7 linked regions of the Callithrix jacchus genome follow. The protein of the gene in region 1 purifies or fractionates together with the protein of each later gene. This does not show direct contact. Links are inferred from orthologs where the notes say so. Each region holds a gene or a part of one and is shown in the gene's direction. Other genes may lie near its edges.

Region 1 (4,264 bases):
AGAAAGTGGAATTTATATGCTGGTGTAAGATTTGAGATTTTCCAATTTAGAAAGTCTTCAGGAAGCTGCTGAGTCTTGACACTGAAAGGATCCAGCTCGGGAAGCCCATCCCACAGGAGTGATTCCTGCTTTGGATTTAGGTCCTAGGAGTGAGATCACATCCCTGCTCCATTTGTAGAGCAGGAAGGGAGCTAGTGCAGCAAGGGCTCTGAGAAGAGGGACCCTGGGAGTCACTGAAGCCATTTTCCTGTTGATAGAAAGTGCACACTGACTTTCATCTGCTCACAGGACAGTGAGATTTTGTGAATGCTCTGTAAACTGGGGAGCAGATTTTTAATGAGCTAGGCCCCACTGCTTAGAAGGAGAGGGCATGTTAAAGGATCACACTCCCTCGGGTTTGCGGTTTTGGTCAGGAACAGAGCCTCCAACGCTCCTTCCTATAGACTTCTCCCAGCCATTGGCTTTTTGCAGACCATAAAGGAAGGGAGAAAGGACATAAAATCGGGGTAGTGATGGCGGGCACGTTGAGGTGGACAGTGGACGGGGACAATGAAGAGGAAAGCATGGGACTGCCTTTGTTTTTTGGTATTCAAAGCTTGTTAAGGAATGTAGATGGGTAACAGGGCTGGTGAGGGAGGACGATGTGGGTGGTCGTGGGGAAAACCCTTCCCAGGCATCCCAGGGGTGGGCCAGGAAGGGGAGTAGAAGGACGTCTACAAGGCACGGGAGTGGTTATTCTCTCCTGGAGGGGCTGTGGGTCCAGCAGGATTTCGGATGAGACCTTGGAAAGGCAAGGCAGCTTGCCAACTGGAAGGCAGGCAAAAGGGCTGAACCAGGCCAGACATGGCGGTCTGCAGCTCACTGGCCAGGGGCATGGCCTACCCGCTCTGACGCCAAGGCTAAAGGGGAACAACTTGTCCAGCCGCTCTCTGGCCGGCGTCGTCACGAGGCCTCCATGAGCTCTGACTGCCCTGCAGTGGTTCCTGGAGACTCCTCACCTTCCCATGTCCAAATAGCTGCAAGAGGGAAGTGGGCGGAAAAAAAGCAAAACAGCTTGGGAAAAGGCTTGACGTGCCTGCGTAGGGAGGGTGCATGTTCCTGTGCTCCGTGTACGTGGCGGCCGCAGGGAATGGAGGGGGTCCCTCCAGTAGCGACTCTGTTTCCAGTCTCAGTCTGCATAAGTGGACGCCCGCAGAGGCGCCCCAGGTGCCCGGGTGTTGTGTGATTGACTGGGGGAAGGAGGGGTAGGTCGATCCCTTCCTAACGCTCCATCCCATCCCCGAGGATTGGGCTAGTAGGTCGGACGGTCAGAGCCGGAGGCCGGGCAGAGTCGCCGTAAAGACTCTGCTCCCGCCGGGCAGCAGCCGGAGAGGCGGAGCCTCGCGGGGAGGGGGCGGGCGGGGGCCGGACCGCCGAGACAGACCTGGAAACTGCTGGAAAGGCCGCAGTGCCGCCACCGCCGCCGCGTCTTCCGCCGCGTGCCGGCAAAAAGTCCCCACCAGCCCCGGCCGGCGCCCTCTCTCAACGCTGATCTACCCACCGTAGCTAAGCCTCCGCCCTTCCTGTGCGCCTGGGAGAGTCGGATCTGTGGCTGCCCAAGGTTGGGTCCCGAATTCCAATTCTTTCTACCGGGATGCGAAATGTGTGGGGCAGATTCTAGGAAGAAGATTGCGTCTGGGAGCGGCGGTCGGTGTGGTTAGCCACCTCCGCTTTTTTTAGGTGTCCCCCTCCCCCAGCCCCGCCCTTGGGTGTGGGGACGCCTGCCCCACAGGTTTTTAGGGAGGATAGTGGGTCCTCGTTCGTAGAGACACTGCTTTGTCAAATGAGCACTCCTCATCCCCGCTCTTGAGCGGGTCATGTCCTAGACGTGCAGACATGGGGGCTGTGGTCACAAGCAAACGTGTGAGTGGACCCGCTGCTTGGGTTCTTCTCTGCCCCCTCCCTTATTTCGGACCATGACGTCAAGGTGGGCTGGTGGTGGCAGGTGCGGAGTTGACAAGGGTACTCCTTTAAGGCGGAGGGATCCGGGGGAGGGGGGCTGTGCTGTGCTTCGCCTTATATAGGGCGACCTGGGGCGTGAAATAGCTCTCTTGAGTCGCTCCGGCGCTGCTCTTGTCTGTGTGTGTGTGTGTGTGTGTTGGACAGCCAGCCCACCTTGCTTTCTAATACCTGTGAGCCTTTTCTTTTGAAGGTAAGGCCGAAGTCTCTGCCAGGTTTCTTTTCCTTCACTGCTCTTTCGTTTTGCTGTTTTCTTTTTCTGTTTTTAGGAAGCCCAGATGTCGGGGTGGGCTGTGGATAACGCCCTGGATTTTTACAGGGTGAGGGTGGTAGTAGGTGAGGGCTCTTGAGTTTTGCTCCGTTTTCTCTTGTGTGCTTGGGCGGTGGGCTTTTTTCTCGGCGGCTGCTAGCCGTGGCGAGGTGGGCTGAGGGGTTGGGGGAGTGGGCGGAGGGCAGCTGCACGTGGTGGCCGCGCGGCCCAGGACGCTGCCATTCTTGCTTCTCCACTTCCGGAGGCGGCTACAGGGCGCCGGAGGGGGACCGCAGGGTGGCGGGGGTGCTCGCATGGGGTGACTCAGCACGGCCCTGCGGGACTGGCCTCACCATCTCTCTTTACGGCCGCGTCGAAAGCCTTGGGTGCTTTGTTTCTGTGAGGGCTCACGGTGAGGGAGAAGCGTTTTCGGCCTCCAGCTCCCATATTTCCTCCTTCCAGATCTTTCTTGCAGTCCCCGTGGAGGAGGGGTGGGGAGAGGGCAGGGTCTGGAAGATTCTTGGGCTCCCTCCTCCGCCCCTCCTCGAGAGCTGAGATTGTTCTGGAAGCTTCTGGATTCTGGCGCCCCGCCCCGGTGCCCGGATGCTGGGGAGAAGGGAGGGTACATGGTGGCGTCCCCTCCTCGCGTGGCCCCTGCCGATGCATGTTCAACAGTGACGAGAGTCGGCCCGGTGGCTACGGCCACCATCTTTCCTGTGTTGGGTTTGGTCCTGTACTGTAATTCTGTGCTGTAAAGGGGTCGTGGTTGAGCTTTTGGTTTTTCGATTTTTTTGTCTGGATTTAATTGCTCCTCGGGCTGGTGGCCTACGGATCTGATTATTCCTCTTTGCCGTGTGGGGCAGAAGTCCTGCACCTTAGGCTGATTTTAGGAAGACACCTCAGGGGGACCGGTTTAACGTTAGTGCCATTTTAATCTTAAACTACTGGTTACTTTGACCTCCCCCAAATATAAAGAACCGTAGCTAGTGATTTTCACATTTAAATTTGCGCAAGGATTACCAGGGATCCCTAGATACCTGGGTTGGACCAGGATTATGAGTTTCTGCCATACTACCAGGTGACGCTGAGCCTGTTGGCCACCATTCTTTAAGTAACTGGGTTCTGTGACATTTGGTTGAAGAACATTGTAGCTTATTTTCTTTTTCCTTTTGATTTGGCTTCCCACTTAGTGTGTAGCCTGAGAGCTTTAAAGAGAATGCTTTTTTCGTCTCTTGGGAAGGGATAATAGTACTCAGCTTAAACCACCACTCAACTCACGTTTTAAGGTTCCAATGACAGGCAACCATTAGGATTTCTAAATATGGGGCCTTCATATTCTTTTGTAATTAATTACTATTTTTATTTTAGATGCCTGAGGAAGTGCACCATGGAGAGGAGGAGGTGGAGACTTTTGCCTTTCAGGCAGAAATTGCCCAACTCATGTCTCTCATCATCAATACCTTCTATTCCAACAAGGAGATTTTCCTTCGGGAGTTGATTTCTAATGCTTCTGATGTAAGTGCTCTGGTTTTCACATTTCATATATTTTAACATTCTGGAAGAAGGAGAGGGGTAGTTTGGCCTTTGTTGGGGACTACTGTTGAAGAGGTAAACCTGCAACTATTCCAAAAAGATTTGTCTTACTTTGTGGCCATTTTGAAGTTGGAAGGGACTATGTCCAGGATAAGTGGGTTGGTGTAACTATGGTTCTAATGCCTCAACATAAGGGGCAATCAGATTGAGGCTGACAGAAATACACCAAGATTTTCTTTGAAGATAAGGGCTTTAACAAAACAAAAGTGGGCGCAGTGGTTCATGCCTGTAATCCCACTACTTTGGGAGGTGGATCATGACTAGCCTGGAGTTCAAGACCAGCTTGGCCAACATGGTGAAACCCTGTCTTTACTAAAAATAGAACAACAACAAATTAGCTGGGCATGGTGACGAGTACCTGTAATCCCAGCTACTTGGGAGGCTGAGGCAGGAGATTCACTTGAACCCAAACCCAGGAGGCAG
Region 2 (4,293 bases), on another chromosome or scaffold:
CAAGCTTACCTTGCGGGGGGGGGCTGGGGAGGGGATGCCCTGCCCTCTCCGGCCTGGGGGGCGGGAGGGGACGGGGGTGTCCAGACCCTTTGTTTGCTGGTGTGAGTGTGTATGTGTGTGTGCGATTGTGAGAGCCGCCGGGGTGTGGGTCCGTGCGCGCGCGTGCTCGGGCTGTGACGGCCTCTGATGTGCTGGACTGCCAGGGTGGAGAGTAAGAGGGAGGGGGAGGAGGGGGGACTCCCCCGCCGCTGCCCGCCCACTCGCGGGTTTGAATGAAGCGCGAGGAGGAGGGGCTGCGGCGGGAGGGCGTTTTTGTCCGATGGCCCCTCCCACTCAATGCACCGGGAAATCCCCCCACAACTGGAGACCTTCGCTCGCTCTCTCCAGGCCGCGCCTCCAACGTCTGCTCCAGGGGAGACTAGGAAGAGGCGCCCCTCACCCGGGTGGCTGGAGCTCCTCCTATCCAGCCTGCCCCACGACGGAGCACCCGTTAATCTGAGATAATCCTAGCCCGAGGCTGCAACACGGCCTGTTATCCCGGTATCAAAGCGTGGATTGGGTTGCATGAAAGTGTGAGGCTGGGGCCCGGCATGCTTAAAGTAATGGAGTCCTTAGAGCTCTGGCGGAGGAAGGGGACCCCCAGACGAACGGGGAGGGGCTACGCGTGGCCCTAGACTGTGACGACAAGGAAAGCCCCCTTCCACCCCTCCACGATCCCCCACCACCGAGCGCGGGGCCAGGAGTACGCGCTGCGGCCTAGACTCTAGCGACACCCAGCGGCCACGAGGGGAGGGGCGCCGAGATCCGCTGGGGGGGGTCTCCCGGAGATTTTGTGTGTGTGTGTGTGTGTGTGTGCGTGCGCGCGCGCGCGCGCGCGAGTCCTCGCTGCGAATGGCAGGAGCTGGAGGACGAGGAGAAGGCTGTTGTCCGAGGGGGGGAAACCCCAGCTTCCCAGGCGGGGCCACAATCTCCACTCCAGGTTTAACCCCGCAAGGGGAGGGCCATACTGCCCTCGATTTAGACACCCCCAGGGCAGGTCAGTCCTCCTCGAACTGAGACAGTCAGAGTCATCAAGCGCCCCTCTCAAGCGCAGGCTTAGGTCCCCGTTTACGAGGGGCGGGGGAGAGCCTTCCCCCTTGTCCCTACCCCTTGCAGACGTCACTGCGGCGTGGCTGAGGGGACAGTCCTCTCTGCCTCATCAACCGTCCTCTCGCTGCCGCCCCAAACGCCCACCGCGGGGCGTTGGGAGATGAGGAGGGCTTGGAGTTGTAGCGCCCACACGTATGCCCCCGCCCCGAGGAGGCCTAGCTGAGACCCAGCGCCCAAAGAGGTAGTCTCTGCGAGAACTCCTGGGGTCCGGAACACTTGCGCAGGGCCCTTTAAGGCAGGCTCGGTAGCCAGTGCCGCTGCCGCGGTTACTAAGGATGTGACGTCACGGGAGGGCGGGGTTGCCCGCAGTCGGGCGGAAGCGGAAGGGGCGGGGCTCGCTCGCCGAGTCTCCAGCTCTGCCGCCACCGCCACCACCCGAGCCGGAGCGGGGCTGGGCTGCCGAGGCAAGATGGTGGACTACAGCGTGTGGGACCACATTGAGGTGTCTGATGATGAAGACGAGACGCACCCCAACATCGACACGGCCAGCCTCTTCCGTTGGCGGCACCAGGTAAGGCGCGCTCGCCCATCCTTTTCCCCACTCCGGGGGAAGTTGTGATCCCCGATACTGCCCAGGGACCCCGCTGTTCACACCTAGGATTCTCACTCCCATAGTCTGGACTTTCAGAAGCCACGATTAAACTCCGGGACCCCAGTACCGCGGGGACTCTGAGTCCCTGCCCGGGATCTCCACCACCCCTCACCCCCACGCTCCAATTTTTTCGTGGGATTCCCTATTCACCCCGTAGAAGTTCTTCATAGTTTAGACTCCCCTAGAGCAGTCTTGGGGGGAATCTCCCTAATTCTGTCTGGGACCTAACGTTTACACCGAGAACTCTGCCTCGAGGTTTGGACCCCAAATTCTTCTGGATGATCCTGATCCTATTCGGGTATCCACTTACTATCTGGAATCTCCGATCGCCCCCTCCCCCACCTCTATAGTTTGGAACCCCAGTACTTTGGTCTGTCCTGGAATCTACTTTCTGGGATCTTGATCCCAGGTTCCCATTCAGATCCGGAGTCATCGCTCCTTTTCTAAACAGAACAAGGAACTCTGTGCTACCCTGATATTCTTGTTTCTGGCCTGGGACTCCTGCCCACACTCAGAACCCCCTTCCTAGAGTGTAGACCCTTGCCCCCTTAGGGTCTTTAGTCTCACCAAGGACTTGGGTTTTGGAACCTGGTTCCCGTCTGGATCTAACTACCAGCTCCACCCCGATGGAGCCTCACATTCCAGCCTCTCCTTTGGCCTCTGGTAGAGGCATTTCCCATTATACCAGGAAATCCTGCCCTCGTGGCTTCCGGTCCAGCCAGAGCCCCTGCCCCTACTTGGTATTGCCGACTCTGTCACCACCCACCTCCCAGACTGGCTTCCTGCATGAGCTTCAGCCAGTATTGGAAACTTTCCCCTAACTCAAGCCCAGGATCCCAAACCCACCCCACCTTATGTCCCCAGCCTGATGAGCTACTCTCTGATATCTAAATTGTCCCTGCTCTTATCCAGGGAGTCTCCTGGTCTGATTCTAAATTCACTAACCCTTCTTCTGTCTGTCTGCCCACAACAGAACCCCCAAATCCAGACTCCAGAATACCTGGGTGATCCATATTCTACCACCCCCTCAGTGCTCACAAGCCAATGAGGTGACTAAGACTTAAAGGTTTAACCTCTTGCTCCTCCAAATCAGAGCGCCTGCATCCACTTACCAGTGTCTGTTGTACTCTTTTTTTTTTTTTTTTGAGATGGTGTTTCTTGTCACCCAGGCCGGAGTGCAATGGCGCTGTCTTGGCTCACTGCATCCTCTGCCTCCCAGGTTCAAGTGATTCTCCTGCCTCGAGTCTCTTGAGTAGCTGGGATTACAGGCACGCGCCACCATGAGAGGCTTATTTTGTATTTTTAGTAGAGACGGGGTTTCTCTATGTTGATCAGGCGGATCTTGAACTCCCTACCTTAGGTGATCCACCCTCCCAAAGTACTGGGATTACAGGCATAAGCCACTGTGCCCAGCCATGTTGTACTCTTAAACTAGAGGCATATACCTCTCAGAACCTTCTAGTGAGGCTCTCTTACCCCGTCCTCCCATAGGCCAACTCCCCATCATTTATCCAGAAACAACCAGAAGGTCCCTTCTCCATCCTTCCAGAATACACCAGAATATGACATTAGTTTCTTCATCTGGCTCCCAGTCCCACCTCCAGACCTATTCCTTAAATCCTGAGTCTCCTGGGTAGTGTACCTGCCAAGCAAGCCACTGGAGTGTGGGAAGAAAGTTCTAGCGCTTCTATTTCTTGCTGTGTGTAACATTTTATTATGAAATATTTAAAACTTCTGCAAAGCTCCAAAGACTATTCTTGGGAAGACCTATTTCTGTCACATAAAGAGGTTAATCTTTACTACTGTGGAGAATGGTTTGGTCCTGCCGGGTGGGAGGGCCCCCTCCTGCAGCGTAGTATACCTGCCACACCCTCCTCCGTCTGGCACGGAGCTTTCCCTGTCCTGCCACTGAGAACCCAGTGGCCGTAGTGGTGCTTAAGGGAGGCAGGGGGCTTCAGTGTCTCCAGCATAGGTTCAAGGGCAGGCAAGCTTGGGTTCCAATCCCAGCCCTGCCCCTTGCTGCTTATTTCTTTGATGCGGCAAGACTCAAAAGAAACCCCTTTGAGGCCGTGTGAAACCTGGGATAATATGGCCCCACCTCTTGTGAGATCTTTCTTAAGAATGAATTAAGACTGGGTCAGGAAAACCTGGGGCAAGTCTGGAAGGAAGCATTGTGGAGGGGAAGGAGAGATTGTTGTGGTTCTGAGCACAGGCCTGACTAGGTTCAAATTTTGGCTCTGTCTGTATCACTCACGTGCTGATGACTGCCAGGGAATTGTTTGATCACTGTGCCTCAGTTTCCCCACCTGAGAATCTGAATGATGTCCACCTCCTCACAGGGTTGTTGTAAGGGTTCCCTTATTCATTTAATATCTGTAATACTTTTGCAGCAGTAGTTTCAATAATTATTGCTTATCATTAAAAAAAAATTCTGTAGTCCAATGTGGTGTTGCATGCCTATAGTCCCAGCTACTCAGGACGCTGAGGCAGAAGGATCACTGGAACCCAGAAGTTCAAGATCATCCTGAGCAACACAGCAAGGCCTTGTCTTT
Region 3 (4,068 bases), on another chromosome or scaffold:
ATCCACTGAGGAAAAAGTGATTGGGAGGCGGGTTTTAAATTTTGGTTTACACAAACCAGACCCGCCAGATGAACACTCAGCTTACCACAATACCTACAAATTCCCAGACTTGACTTGGCAGACGGGCGAGGGCGGAGGTTTTCTTTCCCCACTTGCATAAGTCCCAGCTCCCGGCTGCAGAACCGACCTCTTCCCCGCGCCGTCTTCGCGGGGACCGCAGCTGGGCCACGCCCCGGGGCCCCGCGCTCCCGGCCCTGCCCTCCCTGGTTCCCAGTCCCCGGCGCGGGGCAGTCCCTCGCCGACCGCCGGCCCCGTCCCGGCTCCCCGCCGAGGAAATTCTTCCCCAGCAGCCCAGGGCTCGCCTCACGTGACCAGCCGCGGCGGCGGCTTCCAGCGAGAGTTTAAAGGTTACGGAGGAAATTAGCATGGACGCAGCCGCTGGCCCCCCGGAGGGCGCGCCCCATTTCCCCGCAGTCCGGACGGCAGCTGGCAGCACGCTGATCGGAGCCGAAGTCCCACAAAGGGGCACCGATAAGGTCCAACGTAAATAGGAACAGTCACTTTGCAAAAAATAAACAGACCACAAACCAAGCCGGGGCTCTACCGAGCTTTCACTTGTCAACAAGTTCTCACAGCCTCCGAAGTCCAGGACAGATCCCAAAGGGGAGAATGCCCCGCCAAAGAAAGGCAAGAGAAAAGAATCGAGTTTAAAACCTCACCCGAGCCAGGCTCGTCCCTCCCTCCCCCCTTCCCCCACCGCCGCGTATCACAGCGTCCCGGGACTGAGTGACAGACCGGCCAGAACTCCGCAGGCAGCTTCTGCCCGCAGCCACCCGAGTTGGGGTGGGCAGGGGGAGGGTCCCGGGGCCTTTGGGGCAACTCGGCCCCTTCCACTCCCCCATCCCAAGCTCTAAAAGACTGAGTTGGCCGCAGGGTTCCCGATAGATGCGCAGCCCGGGGCCTCCCGGTCGGGACCAAAGGAGTCCCATCCACGGCCCGCGCCACGGGCACCCAGCCCAGCGCCGCCGCTCCCCTGGGTCCCGCGCGGGATCCCCGCCCGGCTACCCCGCCCGCCGCCGCGACCCGGGCAGCCTCGCCCGCTCTCCGCCGTTCTCTCCTTGGCTCACTTTTTCCGTATTGCTCCCCCAACCGGCAAAACTTTCTATTTCCCCAAACACTGCCGTGCGCGCGCGCGCGTGCACACATACACACTCACACACACACTCACACACACTGACGTCTTTTGCGCATTTCCTGCATTAGAGGGAGGGAGACTCGCTCGCACACCGACGGAGGGAGAGGAGACCGCGGGGGAGCGCGGGCTGGCGGGCGGCGAGCGAGCGGCAGCCGAGAGCGGGGACGCGGGGAGCGCGGCGGGCGGGCGCCGGCGCCCAGGAGGTGGGGCCGAGCCGAGTCGCAGTCCCGGCCCCGCCGCCGCGCTGCGCACCGCCCGGTGCCGGCCTGCGCCCCGAGCCGGATCGGCGGCCGCCCGGACTCCCGAGCCCGCGCGGATGTGAGATTCTGGGCTCCTGGCGCCTCCCGATCGCCGGCTTCGGCGCGGCGCTGCTTCGCCCAGGAGGAGGCGGCCCCGGCTGGCCGTAGGGCTTGTGGATTTTTAAAAATTTGGCTCCGAGGAGGACCATTTCCTCTCGACATGCATCCCTCCGGATAGACTGAACATCCCTCGGTCCACCCCCCGCCCCGTGCGGTCAGAGGCAGGCGCTGGGTGTGCGAAGAGGATCCGGGTTGAAATCTGCGCCCCCGGTTCTCGTCCCCGCCCCGTCCCACCGCCCCATCCCCCTCCCGGAGTCGAAATTTCCCGGGATTATGTTTCGGAAAGGTAGGTGAGCGCCGGGCGCGGCGCCCGCTTTCCCGCAGCCCGGAGCCGGAGAGCCAGCGAGGCGGCGAGGCAGCCCCCGCGGCTTGCAGCGGAGCCGACAGCTCGTCTTCTCTTCTGGAGGTGCAGCTGGTGGTCGGGGGGAGAGACTTGCTCCAAGCACGGACGTCCCCCAGCTCTCCCCCCTCCCTGTTTTCCGTTAGGAATCCGGCGAGGAAATACATGCACTGGCTGAGAATCGCCCGCGCCAGGGCGCAACGCCACAAGGTGTAGGGAGTGTGTGGGGTGGGGCGAAAGGGGACCCAAGAGTCCCCGTAGCTTGGAGCGCCGGGCCGTCGGTTCTTCATTCCTGCCCTCAGGGCAGACGGAGTGACCCCGGCCCCCACTCCCCGCCCCGACCATGGTAGTGTTCAATGGCCTTCTTAAGATCAAAATCTGCGAGGCCGTGAGCTTGAAGCCCACAGCCTGGTCGCTGCGCCATGCGGTGGGACCCCGGCCACAGACTTTTCTTCTCGACCCCTACATTGCCCTCAATGTGGACGACTCGCGCATCGGCCAAACGGCCACCAAGCAGAAGACCAACAGCCCGGCCTGGCACGACGAGTTCGTCACTGATGTGTGCAACGGGCGCAAGATCGAGCTGGCTGTCTTTCACGATGCCCCCATCGGCTACGACGACTTCGTGGCCAACTGCACCATCCAGTTTGAGGAGCTGCTGCAGAACGGGAGCCGCCACTTCGAGGACTGGGTGAGTCTGGGGCCTCCCCGTCGGTCCGGGAACCCGGTTGTGGGGTCCCGGGGAAAGATTCACTGGCCTTGATCGTAGGGCTCCGGGACTCAGTGACGACTGGGGGGTGTGTATGCCTGCAGGTCTCAGTTTCCTTGGGGAGGTACACTTCACTTCGTAGTTGGGGAGAAACAGGCATTGACGAGGAAGATGAGACTTGGAAAGAGGATGTGGCCCTCTGCCCCCTCTGTGCCCTCCAGATGGTGGTGCTGCGGGAGGTTTCCAAACTGGGAGAGCCTGGGCTGCTGGTGCTGAAGGTTGGCCGAGGACCCGGCTTTCTTCCGCAGGCGCGTGGTGGGCTGGCTGTGTGTGATTGTGTGTGGGTGGGTCCCTCCGTCCTTGGAAAGGCACGTGGAGCCTTTGACTGAAGGCTTGTTGCACGTCCTGGCTTTGTCCTGCTTAGCCGAGTGAGGAGTTGCTTTATTTTTTCCTCCCGGAGGAAGCCGGTGTGTTTGTATTCTTCTGCATGGCGGTTAGCTCATCTTCTGACATACAAGTAGAAAAAAAGTGTCCTCCTCCAGGATGTCCCCTCTATGGTTCCAGAAACATAAGCCGAGCTTGTTTTGTCCAATTCATTGCCCCATCCATGCAGAATGAATGTTGCATTTGAAGAAAGGTTCTGCTTGTGGGTAATTGCAAGACAGTGCTTTGAATTTTATTTAAAGTTATATTATTTCTCTGTTTTGATTGTCAAGCTACTGTGCAATAAAAGACGATTTCTGAGTCTGAGATTGAGTAAATTGTTAATTAATTTCATTGTTAAACTATTAAGGATTTGGAAATAGGCCTTGTCTCAATGTACTATAAACCAAATGCATCCGATCTTGGAACTTGGACAAGCAGATCTTAGTTTTTTTTTTCTCTTCTTGGAAGAATGGTGTTAATTTAGGACATGGATTTCTGTGTTTTCAGGTTTGTGACATGTTCCCACCAAGAGCAAGTGCAAGTGTTCCTCTGGATATATATGTTTTCAGGGTTCTTTGGTTTACACAAAAAGTGAGACATTTCTCTAAGCCTCAAAAGTGGCATAGAGCAATTGCTTTTTATTGAAAACCAGATAACTTCATGGATCTCCTAGAGGTCAGAAGTTGCACGTGAATCACTTTGGCATATCACCTTACATATTTTTTTCAAGGACACAGAGTTTTAGGGAGAAATAGGAGAGAGCCTTTTGTTTTTATGCTCATGGCTGTGATGTAGTCTGCCTGAAACCATGGTTACAGTCTCACAGGGAAGCTCCAACAAGCCACATGCGTAGAACTCTAGATTTGTGGTTTGCACTTTGGAAAGCAGGCAAACCTTTATGGAATCCCAAAGAACTCCATGGCATTCCATTCTACTTCACAGATGTCCCTCATCTCTGCTTCCCTCAGCCCCCACAGCAGAGCTCCCACTCGTTCCCCATTTCCTTTCCATGCATGGCCTTTGGGCCCTTTCCTCAGGG
Region 4 (2,490 bases), on another chromosome or scaffold:
CCAGTTAATTTTTTTGTATTTTTAGTAGAGACCGGGTTTCACTGTGTTGACCAGGATGGTCTCGATCTCTTGACCTTGTGATCCACCCTCCTCGGCCTCCCAAAGTGCTGGGATTACAGGCTTGAGCCACTGTGCCCAGCTTGATCACAGAGGTTTTGCATTAGGTTCCTAGCTTGAGTTTATAATTAACTACCTAGCCCTAAGGGTGGATAGTTTAGTCAGAAGTAAGCTTGTCACGTTGCCCTCCAGCCTAAAACATAGCACTTTCTGCTCTTGGTAGTTTTCCAGAAGCTAGTCTTGGAGGGTGTTTCATTGTTTTAATGTTTCATTTTTGCTTTGTCAGACACCATCCCTGACACAGTGTGTCTGTAACATAGTCATTTTGCCTTAACCATGAAGTGTTTTTTTTTTTTTTTTTTTTTTTGAGGGAGGGTCTCATCCTGTTGCCCAGGCTGGGGTGCAGTGGCATGATCACAGCTCACCACAGCCTTGACCTCCTGGGCTCAGGTGATCTACCTCAGGCTCTGGAGTAGCTGGTACTGCAGGCATCTGCCACCACACCCAGCTAATTTTTGTATTTTTTGTAGAGCTAGGATTTGCCACATTGCCCAGGCTGTTTGCTAACTCCTGGGCTCAAACCATCTGCCTGCCTTGGCCTCCCAGAGTGCTAGGATTATAGGCGTGAGCCACCATGACCAGCCCATGAAGCATTATACTTTGTACCTGAACTAAGCAAAAAGCATCTGAAATACTTTTAAGTATGTTTGTCCAGTGTTTCCTTTCATGTATAATGATTTAGTGTAAGCTAGCTGCCTATATCAAATATTAACCACAATTTAAAAAAATTTCTAACAATCAAGGGCTCTATGTTGTCACATTGGATGTTTAAATACTTATAATCACAGCATCATTACAACCACACGATTTGGTTAAACATGCATGTTGAAATGTGCAATTTTATGTATTTGAGGGGCCTTCTAAAGGTCAATTGGAGCCAGGCAAGGTGGTGTTGTGCCTGTAGTCCTAATTACTGGGAAGGCTGAAGTGGGTAGATTGCTTGAGCCCAGGAGTTAAAGGCTGCAGTGAGCTATGATTGTGTCACTGTACCCCACCCTGGACAACACAGCAAGACCTCATCTCTTAAAAAAAAAAAAAAAAAGGAAAGAAAGTAAAGATCAGTTTGTATGTTCTGAATCTCCTGTTTTGATACAATCAGTCCCTAAGGTATTAGGTAATGTTTGCTTTTCAACATACAGTTTTCATGTCCTAAAATTTTTTGATAAAAATCTGTATTTTATGTCTTAGGAGCCGTCCTTCCATGGAGCTTGTTCTCTGGAAACCCCTCCCTGAACTCCTTTCTGATAAGCCAAAGCCATCCTCTAATGCTAAAAACTATACAGGAGAGAGCCAAGATAAACATGCAGCTGCTGGCACTGCCTTCCCTCAGAGAACTGAACTGTTTTTGGAACCTCGGCAAACAGGAATGTCTCTTTATGATAGTTTGGAGACAGCTACTAGCACAGAAGAAGAGATGGAACTCTAGAAGCCAATTTCTACACTAAAGTCAAATGTTAGAAGAATCCTGTGTTCAGTTATGAGCCTCTTTGCATAGTATAGGGACTTGAAAGTTTTATGAAACGGGTGTAATAATATCTCCACCTGTGATTTGGGGGTGGGATTATCATTTTGGGTAGCCATTTATTGAATTCAACTTCTTGCCAAGAAAGTTTGTCTCAAGGGAAAAGCAGTTTTCTGTGGGGCTCATTAGAGGAATGCTTGTTTACAGTCTCTTCAAAGGCAAGTATAGAAGCTGTATGTATAAGAGTCACTTAAATCATATGTCACATTGTCTAGACTATTCAGACACTTGGAGAATATTCTCCTTGAATTAAAAAAGATGATAAAGAAGGATGCTCCTACTACAACTGTATCCACTCACAGCCTAGTTTGTAGATACAAGCTATTTACAGTGGTGACTATATATAATTGGGGAGAAGGAGGGAAGAGAGCAGTAGCTTAAATCTGTTGCTCAGAAATTTAATTTCTTAGCAAATTGTAATTTAGTTATCAATTCAATATAGCTCTGTTGATTAAATAGCAATAGTATTGTGGCTCTCCTCTTTGACTCTGAAAATGCAATGAAAATACACAAAAGTTTTTCCTTCAAGGCTTTTTTGCCTTGTGGCACTGTTGCTCCTTGGTTTCCCTTGCATAATAGATAAGCCCAGTTATTCAGTAACGTTTACAAATTAATTGACTTTGAATGATAGTTAAAAAGATTAAGAGGTAACCCAACTGCAAATTGCCTGTGGGGGAAGCATCCTTTGGTTCATCCTAAGAAAGTGCTTTGTCAGCTAAACCCAGCATTGATGACTTTAATAATTAAAAAAAAACATCCTTGTATTAGCAAGTTTGTTTTTTTTTTCCACCACAGCCTCCACCTCCCAGGTTCAAGCGATTCTCCTGCCTCAGCCTCCCAAGTAGCTGGGA
Region 5 (3,982 bases), on another chromosome or scaffold:
GTTTATAGTAATTCCATACATCCTGCTTTTGAAATACATATTGCAGCTTCTTTAAGCTTGGAAGGCTATATCTCAAGGACTGAAGTTACAGTATATTCAAGTGATACACAAGCCTAGCACCGAATTTTCCACAGTAAGTGTTCGATAAAGACTGTTAAACTCTAAGTCACAGGCCTTTTTATTCTTAAGACAAATAACAGCAGAAACATCCTTGGCTTATTTATGGAAAGGTTTTTATGCTCTATAAAACAAAGAATTGTATCCATCAGCGTAGCACAGATTCTATTAAAAATAAATGTGAGAGTCGTTAATGTAGTAGTACTGCTCACTTACTACCAAAATTAACTTTTCAGGGATAATTCCATCAGTTTAAATTGGATATTGGAATAAGCACTCATTTGACTTGGTAGCCCAATCATGGGGGTTCGAACTCGGCGGGATTTCAAAGGTTTTAAAAATGTTTTTGATTTTAACCCTCAAATTTCATAACCTTTAAATTAGGTTGAAACGGGGCACAAGAGATTGGATTAACATCACAGTAATACTTATTTTTGTTCTTAACCATTTCACGGCTTCTTGAAATAGAGGCTGGATGGAGCAATGGAAAAAACAGCCTTGGAATCTGAGCGCCTGATTGCTGGATTCAGTCCCAGTCAGTTCTGCGTGACCTTGGGCAAGTTACTTTACTTCTCTGAATTTCCGTTTCCTCCTCTACAAAATGAGGATCACAGTAGCCACCTTGTAACCCTAACCCGAGCGCGCCTCGCACAACTCGCGCCCGCCTGCAGGAAGAGCAGCCATGATTACGCCGCCGCCGCCGCCGCTCCGCCACCCGCTCGCGGCCGGCGCCCTCCCCTAGCAGGTGTAGGCGCTGCCCGCGCGGCCCCACGCCTTTCCGCCGCTCGCGGGCCGGCCCCTCTGCGTCCCCGCGCAGGCCGCTGCGGGCTGAGGCAGCTCACCGGCCTCTGCGTCCCGGCCCCGCCCCGGGTGGACGGAGGGCGGGCGACCCGGCTCTGAGGCCGAGGTCCGGCCCCGCCAAGTGCGGAGGAGCGCAGGCGGCCCAGGCGCCGCGCCAGCGCCCAAGTGTGAGCGCGGCCCCCGCCCCTCGGCCCTCCCCCCGGCCCTCCCTCCGCCCCCTCCGCCCTCGCGCGCCGCCCGCCCGGGTCGCCGCGGGGCCGTGGTGTACGTGCAGAGCGCGCAGAGCGAGTGGCGCCCGCATGCCCTGCGCTCCTCCACAGCCTGGGCCGGGCCGCCCGGGACGCTGAGGCGGCGACGGCGGCCGAGGGGGCCGGTCTTACGCTCCCCAGGCCCGCGCGCCCGAGCCCAGGTTGCCGTTCGCCGCACAGGCCACGTTTTCTCAGCCCACGGCGGCGATGAGGCGCTAAGGCGGCCACCGGCTCTGCGCCGGAGCCTAGGACTCGGAAGCGGCCGGGCCGAGGGCGCGGGGTGCCGGCCTCCCTGAGGCGAGGGTAGCGGGTGCATGGCGCAGTAACGGCCCCGATTTCTCTCCCCGCTCCCCAGCCTCGGGCGAGGCCGTCCGGCCGCCACCCCTCCTGCTCGGGCGCAGCCGCCGCCGTTGCCGCCGCCGCCGCCATGGCCAATGACAGCGGCGGACCCGGCGGGCCGAGCCCGAGCGAGCGAGACCGGCAGTACTGCGAGCTATGCGGGAAGATGGAGAACCTGCTGCGCTGCAGCCGCTGCCGCAGCTCCTTCTACTGCTGCAAGGAGCACCAGCGTCAGGACTGGAAGAAGCACAAGCTCGTGTGCCAGGGCAGCGAGGGCGCCCTCGGCCACGGAGTGGGCCCGCACCAGCACTCCGGCCCCGCGCCGCCGGCTGCAGCGCCGCCGCCCAGGTCCGGGGCCCGGGAGGCCAGGAAGGCAGCGGCGCGCCGGGACAGCGCCTCCGGGGACGCGGCCAAGGCAAAGGCAAAGGCCAAGCCCGCGGCCGACCCCGCGGCGGCCGCGTCCCCGTCTCGCGCGGCCCCCGGCGGCCAGGCCTCGGCGGTGGCAGCGGAGGCCGAGCCCGGGAAGGAGGAGCAGCCGGCCCGCTCGTCGCTGTTCCAGGAGAAGGCGAACCTGTACCCCCCGAGCAACACGCCCGGGGATGCGCTGAGCCACAGCGGCGGCCTGCGGCCCAACGGGCAGACGAAGCCCCTGCCGGCGCTGAAACTGGCGCTCGAGTACATCGTGCCCTGCATGAACAAGCACGGCATCTGTGTGGTGGACGACTTCCTCGGCAAGGAGACCGGACAGCAGATCGGCGACGAGGTGCGCGCCCTGCACGACACCGGGAAGTTCACGGACGGGCAGCTAGTCAGCCAGAAGAGTGATTCGTCCAAGGACATCCGAGGCGATAAGATCACCTGGATCGAGGGCAAGGAGCCCGGCTGCGAAACCATTGGGCTGCTCATGAGCAGCATGGACGACCTGATCCGCCACTGTAACGGGAAGCTGGGCAGCTACAAAATCAATGGCCGGACGAAAGTAAGTGTGGGCTGCGGGTTTGCGCTGGACATGCCCTTCTCGGCGGGCAGCCCCTCTCGTGACGGTAACTGCCTAGGCTGAGGAGCAGCCTTCCTCTGTATAGAAAGGACTTTGTGTATAGCACCCCGTAAGGAAGACGGACAGAATTCGGGGTAACTGTTTGATCTGGTTAGCCGCTTTGTGTCCGCTGTTTTCCACTTACTGCCAGTCCACAGACTTCTCCGGCTAATTGCATAGTTTTCTGGCTAAACGTAGGCGCTTTAACTTTGCTACTTTCTTCTTTTCTTCCATTCCACTGTTAGTCACAATTCATTCCTTAGTGGCGTTTTAGCCACCCAGTGAGGGGGTGTTAGAGTACCACCCAAAGCAAGTCCTGATGCTGCATCTGTCTTGTGTTTGCATAAGCACTTAAATTTCCTGTGCTGTCTGAATCACTCGTCACATTTTGATTGAGAGTCAAACGCTGTGTTCAGTTAAGAATTTGCCGGCTGACCACAAAAAGGTAAATTTAAGCGTTTAGTCGAAAGACTCTCCATATTCAGGAAGAGCGTGGCTACTCCCCTCCCCCTCTTATAGCTCCTACCCTCTCCCTGTTCCTACTGTTTTGAAACCCATTACAAAAAGGGAAAAGAAGTATTTCCGTTTTCGGATCTCTCTGTGTAGGTAGGCTACATTTTTAGCATTGGTTTCCTTTATTTGCTTTGTTAATGTTATCCTTCTGTTGAAAAAGAACTGTTTTGTAGCTTCCTGGAAAAAACAACACGAAATTGGAGCAGGAGGACTTGTTTTATCCTCCCAATTTGGTGAGATCTTTTTGTTTTCTCTTTACTGTTGCGTTTTTTTCTCCACAGATTTCTTCACTTCCTACCTAGTCTATTTTCTCTTTTTCTCCCTCACGGTGCACTCTTTCTTCCTTAATACTCTCTTGCAGGTCTTATTCATTTTGCTTCTCAGATCTTGATCTTTTCTTTATATCCAGCTACTCCCAGGCCTCCCTCCTCCACCATCAGTCTCTGTCTGATTTTGTGAGTTTTGAGAGATGGACTTGGGAGAGCATCACACTTACATGTTTGTACACACATGCTGACTCTTCCCAGTGGTTTTTTTGGAGTGTGTGTGAGACCATCTGTTTTGACAGTCATTACATGTGATTCTCAGGCTGCTCGGAAGGCTGAACATAGGCAATGAGAAAAATTATAAACATGAAAATTTTGTGGGGAAAAATACAATGTGGAGTCTCATTTACGTATTGCCACTTCATTGCTGGGTGAAGGCACACATCTTAATTTCATGTAGTCTTACGAACAGTTGAATCATATTAAACTGGAAGGAAAAGGGGGATCTGATGAAATCTCAGCCTTGGTCTTTTACTAGCTTTTCATTGATACTTTTAAAAATGAACGTTGTCATGGAACACATCTGAACATAAGTCCTGAGCTCAGAGCAGGAAAGAAATTAGTTTGAGGGAACAGGGCTGTGAAGACTGACCAAAGTATAT
Region 6 (3,500 bases), on another chromosome or scaffold:
CACACAATCCTGCTTAGCAAATTATCCTAAAATAGAAGATTCTCAAGGACCGAATCACCTTTACTATTTCCTGTCCTTCATTTCGCATCGTATGTAAATTGTCAGTTGTTTCCACCATGGACACTGAACAACTGTCTGCAACTCTTGTCAGCTGTAGATGTCAAATGATCCTGGTGATTGTAAAAATCGAGTAATGGAAGCACAGTGTTAGAAATAATAAACACATACTCTTTTACATAGAGAAAATAGGACACAGTAAGGAGCTTCCTTCTTCATTAAACATTGACACGTCGCATTCATTGAAAACAAAGTCTGGACGTAGTCGCTCACGCCTATAATCCTAGCACTTTGGTAGGCTGAGGCGGGCGGATCACCTGAGGTTAGGCATTTGAGACCAGCCTCACCAACGTGGGGAAATCACGTCTCTACTAAAAATACAAAAATGAGCAGGACGTGGTGGCGGGTACCTGCAGTCCCAGCTACTGGGGAGGCTGAAACAGGAGAATCACTTGAAGCTGGGAGGCAGAGGTTGCAGTGAGCCGAGGTTACACCACTGTACTCCAGCCTGGGGAACATACCAAAACTGTCTTCAGGAAAAAATAAAAGAAAAACACAGATCACACTTACATATTTTATTCCATATCTTTACATACCCAGTATGTTTGTAGTTCAAGATGAATTTGTTTGGGACAGATTCTGTAATAAAGGAAATTTTGTTATTAGAAATACCTAGAGGCCTGTAAGTCCTTAAACTGTTCTCATTTGCAAATAGTTTCCTGTGTGAGGCAGTGTTTTTTTCTGAATGTTGCATAATAAAGTAAAAATACATACATTAGATGTTAAGATTTATATATATGATATTAATCAAAATAATACCTATCCCTGTTGGTGGTAACTGTATTTATAATAAATCATTGCTGTAAATTTGAACTTAGAAAAATTTCACTCATAAAGGTGCTTTTGTATTGCAAACTTTCATTTGAAAATTAATTTTTCTTTGTACTAAAAATCTTAAAATTTACCAGTCATCAAAGTTTGCTTTACGAGAAATAATTTTTGATGGCACTATATCAGCAAAGAAAACAACTAACTTGTTAATGAAAATGTGGTGTTTTAAAAATCCCTTTGGACCTCTGTTATCCAAAGGGGGATCTGTGAATTTTTCCCTGAAAGGTTGCAAAAGGAGAGACCTTTAGGAATTCAGAGAGCAGCTGATTTTTGAATAGTTTTTTCCCCTTCCCTAGATTTTATTATTATCTCATCACCATCCTGAATATCTGTAACTTAAATTTCTGCTGTTAATAAAAAGACATGTTTGGTAAGGAGGAGTTTTCACTGAAGTTCAGCAGTGATGGAGCAGTGGTTGAGGTGTCTGGAGGAGACCTTGAGGTCTGCATTTCACTAAATAACCTGGTAAATGAGGACATGGGGTGTTTTTATGGGCGTAGTAATGACATTTAACCGGTATCCCAGTGAATTAGGAGTATCAATCAAACTAGATTTAAATCCTAATGACTTTTGATTAACTTTTTTTAGGGTATCTGAAGTATACCATACAACTGTTTTGAAAATCCAGCGTGGACAATGGCCACTCAAGGTTTGTGTCGTCAATCTTTCGTTACTGAATTGGGGCTCTGCTTCGTTGCCATTAAGCCAGTCTGGCTGAGATCCCCCTGCTTTCCTCTCTCCCTGCTTACTTGTCAGGCTACCTTTTGCTCCATTTTCTGCTCACTCCTCCTAATGGCTTGGTGAAATAGCAAACAAGCCACCAGCAGGAATCTAGTCTGGATGACTGCTTCTGGACCCTGGATACAGTACCATTCTTCCACTGATTCAGTGAGTAACTGTTAGGTGGTCCCCAAAGGGCTTAGGTATTTCATCACTGAGCTAACCCTGGCTGTCATTCTGCTTTTCTTGGCTGTTTTTCAGATTTGACTTTATTTCTAAAAATATTTCAATGGGTCATATCACAGATTCATTTTTTAAAAATTAAAGCAACAGTTCCAATGTACTAATGGCAATACTGTTTCATATTTATAGCTGATTTGATGGAGTTGGACATGGCCATGGAACCAGACAGAAAAGCAGCTGTTAGTCACTGGCAGCAACAGTCCTACCTGGACTCTGGAATCCATTCTGGCGCCACTACCACAGCTCCTTCTCTGAGTGGTAAAGGCAATCCTGAGGAAGAGGATGTGGATACCTCCCAAGTCCTATATGAGTGGGAACAGGGGTTTTCTCAGTCCTTCACTCAAGAACAAGTAGCTGGTACAGTATTATTTTTCATTACCTTACTGAAAGTCAGAATGCAGTTTTGAGAACTAAATAGTGAATTTAGTGTATCATAGTTTAAATAAAATGTTGTGGTGAAGAAAAGGGAGTACTTGCAATGTTGCTTTTACCATTTAGGATAGCAGATACTTAGATAAATGCTGAACTATGGATAGTGAGTGTTGATTTAACCTTTTCCAGATATTGATGGACAGTATGCAATGACTCGAGCTCAGAGGGTACGAGCCGCTATGTTCCCGGAGACACTAGATGAGGGCATGCAGATCCCATCTACACAGTTTGATGCTGCTCACCCCACCAATGTCCAGCGTTTGGCTGAACCGTCACAGATGCTGAAACATGCCGTTGTAAACTTGATCAACTATCAGGATGATGCAGAACTTGCCACACGCGCAATCCCCGAACTCACAAAACTGCTCAATGATGAGGACCAGGTGAGCAGTGACATGGCTACCTTTTTAGTCTGCTTCAAAGGAAATGCTCAAAAGGAGTAGTTTCAGAATGTCCACCCAATACCAGTACTGGAAAACTAACGATGTTTCTTAATTCCTTTATTATAGGTGGTGGTGAATAAGGCTGCAGTTATGGTCCATCAGCTTTCTAAAAAGGAAGCTTCCAGACACGCTATCATGCGTTCTCCTCAGATGGTGTCTGCTATTGTACGTACCATGCAGAATACAAATGATGTAGAAACAGCTCGTTGTACTGCTGGGACCTTGCATAACCTTTCCCATCATCGGGAGGGCTTGCTGGCCATCTTTAAATCTGGAGGCATTCCTGCCCTGGTGAAAATGCTTGGGTAAGAAAACATTGTCAGAATGCTTGAAGCTAAAAAGTAGAAGAGTATAGTCATAGTATTTCTCATGAGGCTTGTTTCTTCTTCCCAGTTCACCAGTGGATTCTGTGTTGTTTTATGCCATTACAACTCTCCACAACCTTTTGTTACACCAAGAAGGAGCCAAAATGGCAGTGCGTTTAGCTGGCGGGCTGCAGAAAATGGTTGCCTTGCTCAACAAAACAAATGTTAAATTCTTGGCTATTACGACAGACTGCCTTCAAATTTTAGCTTATGGCAACCAAGAAAGCAAGGTAAGAGAATTGTTCTTTATGTGGTTTTCATGGAGCATCAGGGACTGACAGTGTCATATCATTCCATGCAGTGTTCCTAACCTTTTTGGCATCAGACACCAGTTTCGTGGAAAACATTT
Region 7 (3,500 bases), on another chromosome or scaffold:
CTTTTCCTTTTCTGGTCATAACCTCAATCTGTGATAGGATGGCTGTGTTTGTCAAGCTGTAATGAAATCTCAGCTACTAAGAAATAACTTCCATGAGCTGGGATTTTATCTTTTCAGAGTTTACCCAGGGCATGATCTTACCTACAATGAATGGAGAGTCAGTAGACCCACTGGGGCAGCCAGCACTGAAAACTGAGGAGCGCAAGGTAAATGGTTTTCCCTGGGATGGGAGACTGTCTGCAAAGGAACTTGAGAGATTGCCTCCTCCTTCATTCCACATACCAGCTCTGTGTCCCTAACCTCGAAGCCAGAGCAGCCTATGATCTGCTCATGGTGCTTTTTTAGAGTGCCTGTAATATGTATTCGTTTACCCATCTTTAACCTGGTTTTAATTCATTTATTGCAGACCCCTAGAGCAAGTAGAAGCTCTCAGACAATTAAAAGTCAGACTCTTGATTACATTTAGCACCAAATTAGGAGGTTATGAACAAAGGATGGTCTTCACCTATATAGGTCTTCAGTATTATTTCTAATTGGAGTGTTGATATTTTATACTTTGATATTAGAGGTCCCATCAAGAAATGAAGTTACATCCTGTCTTCACCCCATCTCCCCCATTTGCAGGATGAGGAAGTACTTTATCTAGAGATGGAACTTTATGGTTCAGGCTCAGCACTTGGTTTAGAGCCCTCTTGCTCTTTTGCCAGCATAGTGAAGTAGATATCCTGGAAGTGGGGAGAAAACTGCTTCCAGCTATTTAAGCATTGAAACTGAGAATTACACTGATCTCTTCAAAAATATCTCAATGATTTGATTTGTTCTTTGGCTGTCAGGGTCTTCCTTGTAGAGTGGTTATTTTTACTGGGAATTGAGGATGTTTCCAGAAACATGACCCTCATGACTGAAACACACACTCAAATTCCCTTTAACCCCTTGGAATAATTAGCCTTGGAAGGGAAAAATTTTGTGAGAATGAATGATATGACTGTCTCTGAAGCCACGTTGATTGAGGTTGTATCATTAGTCTGTACTGATCATTTTCACTATGACTTTCACAGGCTAAGCCTGCTCCTTCAAAAACCCAGGCCAGACCTGTTGGAGTCAAAATCCCCACTTGTAAGATCACTCTTAGGGAAACCTTCCTGACGTCACCAGAGGAGCTCTATAGAGTGTTTACCACCCAAGAGGTAAGTAAGTCTTATGCTTCATGCCTCATGCCATCTGCCCTTCTAGGTGACTTGAGGTAGGGGCCTATCCCCTCAGCAGTGTGCAGAAGAGGTACTCACAACTGGAGCCATGAGGCCTTCATCAAAGTGGATTTTCCTTCCCTCTCTAATTTTTTTTTTTTTTTTTTGAGATGGAGTCTCGCTCCGTCACCTGCCTAGGCTGGAGTGCAGTGGCATGATCTTGGCTCACTGCATCCTCTGCTTCCTGGGTTCAAGTGATTCTCCTGCCTCGGCCTCCTGAATAGCTGATACTATAGGCACCTGCCACCACGTCCAGCTAATTTTTTTATTTTTTAGTACAGATGGGGTTTCACCATGTTGGCCAGGCTGGTCTCAAACTTCTGACCTCAAGTAATCTGCCCGCCTCAGCCTCCCAAAGTGCTGTGATTATAGGTACGAGCCACTGTACCCAGCCATATTTATTTATTTTAAAAACAAAAGACCTGGTCTTGCTATGTTGCCCAGGCTAGCCTTGAACTCTTGGGCTTAGGTGATCCTCCTTCCTCAGCCTCCTGAATAGCTGGGACTACAGGTGCACACTACCATGCCTGTTCTAGTTCTGAGTCATATAAGTCGGGAGACTGAGTGAATCTTACTAGGAAAGCGAATGCCCATTCCTGGTTATGCTGTAGCACAGAATTCCTGGCTTCTTTCTGTTGCACAGCTGACTTGTGCCATTCTGTTGCTACAGTGTGGAGTTGAGAAACATGACTGTATTCAGCTTTATTATCTGATAGCAAAAGCGGGTGGGATATGTGGAATTTCCCACATACTCTGGGACAAAATTTCAAGATCTTGTTTTTTAAATAAAAACGTAAATACAGTCATAAATTAAGAGGTACCATGTAGTATATTGGTGTTAATATGTCTGTGTGCCTGCACCCAAAATACTCTCGTGATAATTCTGTCCCCCTTAGAAAAGCAAGAACTGGAGAAGCAATGAAATGGACTGGGTTTTCTAGAAATTTGAAAAGATGTATATAAACAATATTATACTGTACTTTAGAAAGTTACCTTCGTTGACTCCAGAGATGTGTTATGACCTGGCTGTGCTGACGATTGCCTCTGATGGCTCACTTGGTTCTGTTCCTCTGTGTGCCTGCTGCCTTGAAGGACTTAGGAGCACAACTGTAGTCTTCATTTGAATTGAATTTAGCTAACATAGACTGCAGTTGAATCTCTGCTTCCAACCTAGCTAAAGTTTTCAGTTTTACAATACTTTTGTATGGGAGGATTACTGACATGTTTAACCATGTATTCTTTTGTACCGTGTATTTGTATTACCTACTTTAAAAAAATAGATTTTTTAAAGGTAAAAGTGGCACTACTGGGTAATCTAACATAGCAAAATGATACTGATTCAATATATATGGAGTAGGCCAGGCACAGTGGCTCCCACCTCTAATCCCAGAACTTTGGGAGGCTGAGGCAGTTGAATTACTTGGGCCCAGGAGTTTGTGACCAGCCTGGCCAACATAGTGAAGCCATGTCTCTACAAAAAAATACAAAAATTAACTGGCTGTGCTGGTATACACCTGTAGTCCCAGCTCCTCGGGAGCCTGAGGTGGGAGAATCGCCGAAGCCAAGTGGTTGGGGCTACAGTGAGCCATGGTCATGCCACTGCACTTCAGTCTGGGCAACAGAGCAAGACCCATCTCAAAAAAAAAAATAAAGATATATGGAATAGTTTTACTTTGGGACATGTTCTCAGAAATGGTAATTGAAGTCTCGAACATTTATTTGAGAATTTTCTTTCATAAACTCATTCTCATATCTACTATTTCAAATAAATAAAAGTAAAGTAGGCCGGGCACAGTGGCTCACACCTGTAATCCCAGCATTCTGGGAGGCCAAGGCGGGGGATCATGAGGTCAGGAGTTTGAGACCAGCCTGGTCAACATGGTGAAACCCCGTCTCTACTAAAAATACAAAAAATTAGCCGGGCGTGGTGGTGGGTGCCTGTAATTCCAGCTACTTAGGAGGCTGAGGCAGCAGAATTGCTTGAACCCAGGAGGTGGAGGTTGCAGTGAGCTGAGATCATGCCATTGCACTGCAGCCCAGGCAATAGTGTGAGACTTTGTCTCAAAAAAAAAGAAAGAAAAGTAAATGGGTACAAAGTAATGGCATCATTGAATCAGAAAGAATTCCTGAAGTCAAGTCCTGATTGGTAGAAAAACAGAATAGAGGGAAAGAGTTAAGGCATGCACCCTTCAGCTGGCATTTGTCCCTGGGTCCCACTGAAAGGCATGTATCTTCTGCCTCTTTTTTTTTTTT

Evidence for each region.
Region 2: the proteins of HSP90AB1 (region 1) and CDC37 purify together in Homo sapiens (co-immunoprecipitation; 12 studies listed by BioGRID and IntAct, with this or other methods). This does not show direct contact. The link is inferred for Callithrix jacchus from reciprocal best matches to the Homo sapiens genes HSP90AB1 and CDC37.
Region 3: the proteins of HSP90AB1 (region 1) and PRKCE purify together in Homo sapiens (co-immunoprecipitation; 3 studies listed by BioGRID and IntAct, with this or other methods). This does not show direct contact. The link is inferred for Callithrix jacchus from reciprocal best matches to the Homo sapiens genes HSP90AB1 and PRKCE.
Region 4: the proteins of HSP90AB1 (region 1) and CCDC117 purify together in Homo sapiens (affinity purification with mass spectrometry; 3 studies listed by BioGRID and IntAct, counting the BioPlex papers as one, with this or other methods). This does not show direct contact. The link is inferred for Callithrix jacchus from reciprocal best matches to the Homo sapiens genes HSP90AB1 and CCDC117.
Region 5: the proteins of HSP90AB1 (region 1) and EGLN1 purify together in Homo sapiens (affinity purification with western blotting; 4 studies listed by BioGRID, with this or other methods). This does not show direct contact. The link is inferred for Callithrix jacchus from reciprocal best matches to the Homo sapiens genes HSP90AB1 and EGLN1.
Region 6: the proteins of HSP90AB1 (region 1) and CTNNB1 purify together in Homo sapiens (affinity purification with mass spectrometry; 3 studies listed by BioGRID, with this or other methods). This does not show direct contact. The link is inferred for Callithrix jacchus from reciprocal best matches to the Homo sapiens genes HSP90AB1 and CTNNB1.
Region 7: the proteins of HSP90AB1 (region 1) and AHSA1 purify together in Homo sapiens (affinity purification with mass spectrometry; 6 studies listed by BioGRID and IntAct, with this or other methods). This does not show direct contact. The link is inferred for Callithrix jacchus from reciprocal best matches to the Homo sapiens genes HSP90AB1 and AHSA1.

The regions. Positions count from the first base shown.
Region 1 is NC_133505.1:52,710,455-52,714,718, forward strand, and holds the start of HSP90AB1 (heat shock protein HSP 90-beta), read left to right. Parts: upstream 1-1,464; 5' UTR 1,465-1,600; intron 1,601-2,084; exon of another isoform or gene 2,085-2,191; intron 2,192-2,486; exon of another isoform or gene 2,487-2,660; intron 2,661-3,616; coding exon 3,617-3,763; intron 3,764-4,264. UniProt on the Homo sapiens protein: Molecular chaperone that promotes the maturation, structural maintenance and proper regulation of specific target proteins involved for instance in cell cycle control and signal transduction. Undergoes a functional cycle linked to its ATPase activity.
Region 2 is NC_133523.1:9,592,556-9,596,848, reverse strand, and holds the start of CDC37 (hsp90 co-chaperone Cdc37), read left to right. Parts: upstream 1-1,493; 5' UTR 1,494-1,558; coding exon 1,559-1,660; intron 1,661-4,293. UniProt on the Homo sapiens protein: Co-chaperone that binds to numerous kinases and promotes their interaction with the Hsp90 complex, resulting in stabilization and promotion of their activity. Inhibits HSP90AA1 ATPase activity.
Region 3 is NC_133515.1:69,123,868-69,127,935, reverse strand, and holds the start of PRKCE (protein kinase C epsilon type), read left to right. Parts: upstream 1-1,268; 5' UTR 1,269-2,237; coding exon 2,238-2,585; intron 2,586-4,068.
Region 4 is NC_133502.1:199,472,479-199,474,968, forward strand, and holds part of CCDC117 (coiled-coil domain-containing protein 117), read left to right. Parts: intron 1-1,305; coding exon 1,306-1,543; 3' UTR 1,544-2,490. UniProt on the Homo sapiens protein: Facilitates DNA repair, cell cycle progression, and cell proliferation through its interaction with CIAO2B.
Region 5 is NC_133520.1:53,463,416-53,467,397, forward strand, and holds the start of EGLN1 (egl nine homolog 1), read left to right. Parts: upstream 1-1,182; 5' UTR 1,183-1,593; coding exon 1,594-2,484; intron 2,485-3,982. UniProt on the Homo sapiens protein: Cellular oxygen sensor that catalyzes, under normoxic conditions, the post-translational formation of 4-hydroxyproline in hypoxia-inducible factor (HIF) alpha proteins.
Region 6 is NC_133518.1:79,019,669-79,023,168, forward strand, and holds part of CTNNB1 (catenin beta-1), read left to right. Parts: intron 1-1,536; 5' UTR 1,537-1,584; coding exon 1,585-1,597; intron 1,598-1,704; exon of another isoform or gene 1,705-1,836; intron 1,837-2,040; coding exon 2,041-2,268; intron 2,269-2,472; coding exon 2,473-2,726; intron 2,727-2,852; coding exon 2,853-3,091; intron 3,092-3,179; coding exon 3,180-3,381; intron 3,382-3,500. UniProt on the Homo sapiens protein: Key downstream component of the canonical Wnt signaling pathway.
Region 7 is NC_133509.1:112,425,565-112,429,064, forward strand, and holds part of AHSA1 (activator of 90 kDa heat shock protein ATPase homolog 1), read left to right. Parts: intron 1-117; coding exon 118-206; intron 207-1,058; coding exon 1,059-1,187; intron 1,188-3,500. UniProt on the Homo sapiens protein: Acts as a co-chaperone of HSP90AA1. Activates the ATPase activity of HSP90AA1 leading to increase in its chaperone activity.